Drosophila melanogaster: one gene and its partner. The protein of the gene in region 1 purifies or fractionates together with the protein of each later gene. This does not show direct contact. Each region holds a gene or a part of one and is shown on either strand. Other genes may lie near its edges. The genes, in order: Irk1 and hzg.

Evidence for each region.
Region 2: the proteins of Irk1 (region 1) and hzg purify together in Drosophila melanogaster (affinity purification with western blotting; one study listed by BioGRID). This does not show direct contact.

What each region holds. Positions count from the first base shown.
Region 1 is NT_033777.3:23,166,210-23,170,138, forward strand, and holds the start of Irk1 (inwardly rectifying potassium channel 1), read left to right. Parts: upstream 1-2,107; 5' UTR 2,108-2,176; intron 2,177-2,228; exon of another isoform or gene 2,229-2,575; intron 2,576-3,686; 5' UTR 3,687-3,885; coding exon 3,886-3,929.
Region 2 is NT_037436.4:16,002,944-16,006,872, forward strand, and holds the start of hzg (herzog), read right to left. Parts: upstream 1,794-3,929; 5' UTR 1,406-1,793; intron 1,132-1,405; 5' UTR 1,038-1,131; coding exon 956-1,037; intron 1-955. Other genes in the region: mRpS31 (mitochondrial ribosomal protein S31), read left to right, coding at 2,347-2,384, 2,449-2,904, 2,971-3,607; mib1 (mind bomb 1), read right to left, coding at 3,790-3,929.

The DNA of each region.
Region 1 (3,929 bases):
TCACAGAGTCACAAATGGTATACCTAGATCTTGGTGGAGTCGAGACTTAAGATGGAATACCTAATTGGCACACTTGAAACTGGTTCCTCCCACACACAGGCACATGAAATACTGATTTTCCGGCTGTAAGTGTCCCTTCCCTTTCTTCGCAATTATATAACAAGATTTATATCTTAGGCAATTGAGCATTTATTCACCGCAATGTGCCAGTTATTAGACAGGGCAGTTTCAGTGGCATTCCAAAAAAAATATATATATATACATATAATCTTGTGTGTGGGATTCAATTTCATATACGCATATGCATGAACAAATTTTGGGGTAAATATATCAAGCCATTGACGTCAGAGGTCAATTATGCATTAGGATGCGTTTATGTGTTTACTAGAAAATGGATTTCGGGGTTTAGTAACTAAATATTAATAAAGCCGCTTTCAAGGAATTTTGGCATCTATATTTGTGAAGAGTTAAAATCCGAAAATGCACAGAAACAAAATAATAATAAGTTGTGTTGCTTGTAATGGGTAATTATATTATCCATAGTGTTGCGTTTAATTTGTTTTCATTGCACTTTGCCGTAACAAAAAGTCATTATTCTGTTTAAATTCTCATTTGCTTTTCGAAACTTTCGTTGTGTTTAACGCAAAGCGTTAATGATCTCTGAGCCACGTGCTGTGTTAGCCGAAATTGATCGTAAATCAAATACTATAGGACTAACAAGTATCATTCTATTGGATGAAATTAGGCACAGCCAACTTATTACATTACACTCACCCCAAGCCGAAATTGCAAACGTGATTCTCCGGACACCTATTCTATTACCCATTTATCGTAATGGCCGCTTTACATCTGCAGCGAGCACTTTGAATAGATAGCCAAAGTGAATACACAATGATTCACTGGCTATTTCCATTCCTATTCATACCCATTGTGGGCATGTGACACCGTGCACTTTGCACTGATTGTGTTTGCATTCGCTCAACTTGGAGCACAATTGCACAGGTGTAACAGTGTTCAGATACATTTACATCTACAGATGCTCACTTGAGGTGAACACAAAAAAAAAACATGGGAAAACTCAAGCGTTTTTACAAGAAAATTTAATATGTAATAGTTGGGTAGATAATGTTGTAGTAGCATATGAAAATCATATATTTTATTTGTATAAAAATGAAAATGATTCACTAAACTACTATCTAGTCCTGCTTAAAATAGCGAATGAGAGGTTAAACCAGAGAAAAAAGGGTGCTGGCAAAAGTGATGGATTTATGATGCAAATTGTGGGCGACACCATCAGCTGACATTGTTTTATCACTGGGCCATATATCACGAAGAACTTCGCCAGGGGGTGTTACTATGGTCGAAACCATTGTTGTCAATTTAAGATACTGTTACTGCTGCCATTTGATTGATTGGCAGCAGGCAGGGGCTCACGAAAAGGGATGGAACTGATTTGGAGCTAGTTTACTTTCATTTTTAGCAGTATTCATTGGCAATATTCAAAAATATTCAAAAATATCCTTAATCTATAAACCCCTTTTAAGAAATCCAGTCTACGCCCCAGTTGCAGATGGGAATCTCCTTTTGCGCACTTCCAGCAAAGCAGACATCCTCAATTCCCCCAAACTAGCTTTAAAGGATTCCCCAACAGGTGGCGCCACCCCACTCCACTCCACTCCCCCCTTCCGCTTTCTCTATGAAACTTCTGCCGGCGTAATCACATGGCGCCAACATCTGTTCGCCAGCAGCGCAGCAACAGCGCCGCCGGCGACCTTATGACAGATTTGGCAATGCTGTAAAGCAAAGCAAAAGCACGCCGGCAGCGCCAAAAGCAAAAGCAACAAGCAGGCAAACGCCGACGCAGCAGCGACGCCTCGTTAGGCCAACACGATAAAACACAAAATAAAAAAAAAAACAACAGAATTGTGTGTGCTAGATGACGCTACCGGTTGCTTGTGCTTGTTGTAGTTGTTCCTGCTGCTGCTGCTGCTGCGACTGTTACTGCTGCTGCGGCGGCGGCTGCTGCTGCTGCGGCGTCTGTTGTTGCTGCTCGCTTTTGGATAATAAAACGGGCAACGCGCACTCGAGCGCCAAGTCAATTTGCGAACGCCGCTCGTTCACAACGGTGGCGCAAAAAACAAAAGCAAAGCAATAATAATTTAAATAAAAACAAACGGTAATAGCTCTTCTTCAGTTACCAACACTGCCCCCCAAGCCACCGACCATCCCGCTCGCACTTTTGTTCCCACGTTCTGCGCGTGCGTGCGCGAGCAGGGCAGAGCAAACGAGACGAGTCCGAAATCAGAAATACGAAATCCAAAACCAAAACCAAAACCAAAATAAGTCGCCAGTCTCCAACGCGTCTCGTCCACGGCAGGTCCACTTTGAAAATCGCGCGTTTCGCGGTTGGCAGTTCGAAATTTCCAAAAGTTTCGAACGAAAGTCGCGGGCGTATTGTGGTTACTCAAGAATTCGCGTGAAATTCGAAACAATCAAATAACTGTGTGGATTTAGTTTTGGAAAATTAATTAGAAAAGATATCCAATTTTCTGGGGGAAACTCTCGAGTGAAAACGGTTTGTGTGTTGTCATTGTTATTATTTTATGTGTTTCCCGTTTATGGTTGCTCGCACCAGAGAACCCCAAAATAAAATGTTGACTTCATATAATTTGCATAAAAAAAAAAACTGAAAAAAAACGCTTAGCGCTGAAATATGAAATTATGGAAATATTCCAACAAAAACATACAACAAATTATCGCTCATACATTTTATGAGCATAAGCTCCGGTCGCCATCTCATTTGGCTAAAAATTTATAAACAATACGAGACAGTATATTTTGAAATTGTTTATTAAATTCAAGAAATTGCAAGTCAAAATTGTTCTAAGCATTTTTGAACGCAGTGGAGAAAACAGCGGGATAAACAGTGCAAACAAAATATTAAATAAAAATTTAGAGAAACATTTAGGCATAAATAACTTGAAGTGAACTCAATGTTTCAGAATTTGTGCTTAGAATTAACAAATATTTATGCTGATTACTTATGAATGTGTCATGAGTTCAAGCCGATTAAACAATACATAACTATAAAATTCTCTTTAAAGCTTATCAAAAAGCATAAATATATATGAAATGTGCGAACAATTATATGTGGTTTGATAACTATTGTAGTTAGCAGTTGTAATAATGCATAGAAATAGTGTTTGCGTTTAAACATTTTTAAAAAATTTCTGTTTGGATAGTAAAATATGTGAATATTTTTATGTTATTTTAAACTCATAAACGAATTATGGCCGTCTGCAAAAAATTTTAACACCCAAAATATTCCATTAAAAACTAGATTGATTTAGAAGAATTTTATAGGGCCGTGCAACACAAAATCGCCAGTTGGTTCCATTCGAGACGAGCACCTCAAGACGAGACGATAATAATGATAACGATAATGAATAAAAACCGCAGTTTGTACAATTCACGAATTTTCTAACCACAAAATGAAACGAACTTTAGGACTTTGTTAAGTGTGTTAAAGACTTTAAAGCGGCAAGCGAGATGAAAACGTTGAAAAGTGTGAACTTTATTGTATGAGGTGTGACAATATGCAGGATAGAATCCAGATGTTTAAACCCAATATATATGTGCATTTAAACTGAAGTCTAACTCGCATTCGTGTTCCATTTCGGTTGCAGAGAACAACGTGGCCGCCAGCAAAGAACCATCCATGATTGGCCCGCACTCTTCCAGATTGCAAAAGAAACGCGCCCTCAACAGCTATTCAAATTTTCCCTTATAACGAATAATTCTCCCCAAATTGGCGACTAATCGAGATATATACCAAAGATATCGCAGTGCAGTCAGTAAGTTTAAACTTTTAGCCGTAACTAGTCAATGCCAAAAATGATAGTGGATAAATCGGAACTGGTGGGCGAGAA
Region 2 (3,929 bases), on another chromosome or scaffold:
AAGCGAAGCCAGCAAGTGGTTAGATCATTCACAATGGCCAACGAACAAGAAAACACTGTGTGCTGAATAAAAAAGGGGCGAAACAAACACAACAGACAGGCACAACTGGCGTGAAAATAACACTATTATTAAGTATTGTTATTCATCGCAGTGAAAACCTGTGCAAGCCCATTTATTTAAATGTAAATGCATGACTGGGGACATTTTTGATTAATAAATTGATACCTTTGAATATTTAAAGGTAATTTTTGCTAGCATAGTACAGTTATCAAAGTCGAACAATCTATTAAGAAAACATAAGTCTGATTTTTACACAATAATGTGTCTATAAATTCAAACTCCTAGTCTACCTTGAAAGTAGAAAAAGTACAGACATTTAAAATGGAAATTAGATTCCCAATTAAAGAAAAGAAATTGCCATTTAATTGGTTTCAAATTACAGAAAGTACAGCAAACTGGTCACAGTCGTGCAAACAGATAATAGCTAACGTTAATTTAAATATTTAGCTTAGACAGAATTGAACAACTTTTTCCAGCTACAAGTTAATTGCATGTTGTTTGAATATATTTTTCGAATTAAAAGCACTTTTGTCTTTCATCAGTTTGTTTTTGGAGTGGTTCCTGTACAAATTAAAAAGGCCAATGCCATTTAACTTGCTGCTACTTTCGGAAAGTACGACATATGTACAACTAACTTATTCCCACAATTATATTGACCGCAATTGGGTGTGTTAGAAAGGTCAGCGGGGTGTTGGGCCCTCTTCTTTGGGAGGTTATGGTGGGTGGTGGTTGGTAAGTGGGGGAAACTTCTTGGCAGCGGACAAGTGTCCTTTCGTCTTTGTTGTGACGCCTTCGAGTGGCGATGAGTCATGAAGGGAGCTTTAAATATATGTATGTGTATGCGGACTGCGTTTTCAGCGATTTCCCCAGTTTGGCCCCCATTATTTGTTCTCACCTTTGTCATTGGGATAGCTGGGATAGACGTTCAGTTGCTCGTCGTCGCGGGAAACTTGCGTTATTATTGATGTTGCATCCATTTAAGCACTCGGTTTGTGGCTCCACTTCGCTTAACAGGTTGATAAATCGGATTCGGATTCAGATACTGATTCAGATCGGTTTCGTATAGGATAGCTGCAAAATGTTGCGCACACATGAGAGATAGAGATACATTGGATATGGCAATTATCGCGAGATGATTCCATGTTTTCTTCGTATATATGGTAAGTGTCGTGCAGTATATATGTCGTACATATATAATACATCTACCACGTATATATAGCTCACACACACACACATGCACCAATTGATAGCCTGCCCCAGACAGTGGAATTTTACAATTACGCTTTGGCCGTCCGTTCGCTTCGTTTTATTTCTCGATGCAAATGGGTTTCCCTTTGATATTCACCTCGCTATTTATCGCTCTCTCTTTCGCTCTGTTGCACTTTCGCCTCTCTGTTTTAGTAAATTTAAAACTTTTCAACGAATTTCAATAAAAAACACTTTCTTTCTTTCCTTCGCTCTTGTTTTTGGTTGCGCTCATTCTTTTACTTCTTTATCCGCGTCTGCTTTTCGCACACAGCTTCGCAGCGTTTTATTTATAAACGCCCACACAGACACAGCACTCACACACACTCTCGCACGCACACTAGCTCGGCCGCTGGTGTTTTCGTTATTTCGTCTCGTTATTTATTTATTTTTTTTATTTTTTGCCATTAATTAATCGCGCAAAATAACAAAACGCGTGTGTACGTCGAAAAAAAGTAACAGGAATAGCGCAAAAAACAAAACGTGTGATTAGTGTGACCGCGGTGGATGCGAGACTTATTACCAAGTGCAAAGAAAAAGTGGTAACATTTCGTGTTTACCTTAGAATCACAGGTTGAAGAAAGGCTTGATTATAAGTTAATTACTTACAAGGAGAATGTAGAATTCTATAAAAGGAGCTTGTTTTGAACTACATAATTATTTTCATAGATTTCCAAATTCGATAATCAAAGGTCATACTATCTGGTGCAATTTGGGCTGCCAACTGTGGTCAAGTTAATCTATAAAATTCTTGATTCAAAATGCAATTTTAAGAACATTTTATTTCAAATTATATCAAATCAGATAAAAAACAAATGTCCATGAAATGATTAGGTTAGTTAAGGATATTTTCAATCAAAACACTATAAGAAATAGGACAAGGGAAGCCAAACATAAAATAAAGCCAAATTTAACTATAAACTAGCTTAAACGGCAGTGCAAACAGTTCATCTGGTCTGGCAACTCTCCGCCGAATTGTTGTTACGCGAGCGATTTCTTTGGTCTTATTTCTAGTTAAAATTATCAAAGAAATATTATAAAATGTTGGCCGTACGAAGTTCCCAGAGATTGGGCCTACGGTAGGCCACCCGTCTAATTTGAAATAACCAAAAGAAATCCGTCACTCGACTATTTATTTTTCAGTTCCCTGCTACCGTCTGCCTTCAAAAACGTGGGATTGGTCAACTACTCCTCTTCGCAGTCCAAAAACGACGATGGATACTCCTCTTCGGACGACGAAAAGCCCACGAAGAAGAAGGAGGAACCTGTGGAAACGGCGGCCCAGCGGCTGAACCGCCTGTTGGGCACCATGCAGGCCACGGATCAGCTCTCGGCATCGGACTTTCCACGTCCTGGTGATGCCAACAGGAAGCGGAGGGAGGCCCAGAAACAGGAGGCAGCCGCCAAGAATGTTCTAACTGCGGCCAAGAACATTGCTAGCATGCTGGGCACCAGTGAGAGCGACAAGAAGCAGACAGAGTCTGAGCTATTGGCCAAACTCCTTGGCCATGGAAGCGAGTCCTCTTCAGCAGCGACCGGAGAAAATCAGACGGCGGATGTTTCGGGATCTCCTTCTGGTGATAAGGAACTCAATCTGAGGTGTGTAAAAATGATTTTCTCGCATTAATGGATAATCTAATAAAATTTATTTTCCTTACACAACAGTGATATTATCGTGGGCATGAAGATCGATCGTCGTCAGCAGCCGCAGCAGGTGGAGCAGACCCGCGGCGAGTACGTTCGCCGCTCGCTGGCTTCCAGATTCAAGCCACAGAATCGAGATGGGGCTTATCAGCGGTCACAGAGGCAAACCAAACGAGAGGCTGAATCCTTTACGGGCAGTGTCAATTTGTACGGCGGGGAACCGTTGGGTATCTTCAAGGATACCCAGCTGCCGATTTCCAACGACATCCTTTCAACCTGGTCACAGCTGAGTGAGCGGGAGCTTAGTTTACAAGCTTCCCATCCCCCGGCAAACTACTTCGAGCAAATGGTCCTGTGGACGGATCAAAAGAAGGTGTGGCGCTTTCCCATCAACAATGAGCAGGATTGGGAGGACGAGCATAACGTGGACTTCTCGGAACACATTTTTCTGGAACAACATCTCGAGGATTGGTGTCCTAGCAAGGGGCCTATTCGCCATTTCATGGAGCTCGTCTGCGTCGGCTTGTCCAAGAATCCCTACTTGACTGCCCAGGAGAAGAAGGATCACATTTTCTGGTTCCGTGACTATTTCCAGGCCAAGAAGGACATTCTGAGGGATCTGATTAGCAAGGAGCCAAGCAAAAGTATTTCTGCTTAATGTTTTTGTTTGAATATTTGTTAAAAATATATTTTTGCTTTATAAGACCAATCCGATATATAGTTATATATATGATATTGTGTGTGTATATATGTGTGTATAAGAATGTGAGTCCTTTAAATATCCTAATACTTCGAAGGCTGTGCAGACTGTGCGCGGAATGTGTGAACCGGGAACGGGCTTCAGAAGAGCAGGATGCGTTTTTCCACGGTCTTGCGGCAAATGGGACACCCCTCAATCTGGTCGCCACACATCTGGCACGTGCCGTGGCCACATAGGAAGACCATGTTCTTTATGCGGTCAAAGCAGACAGGACACATAG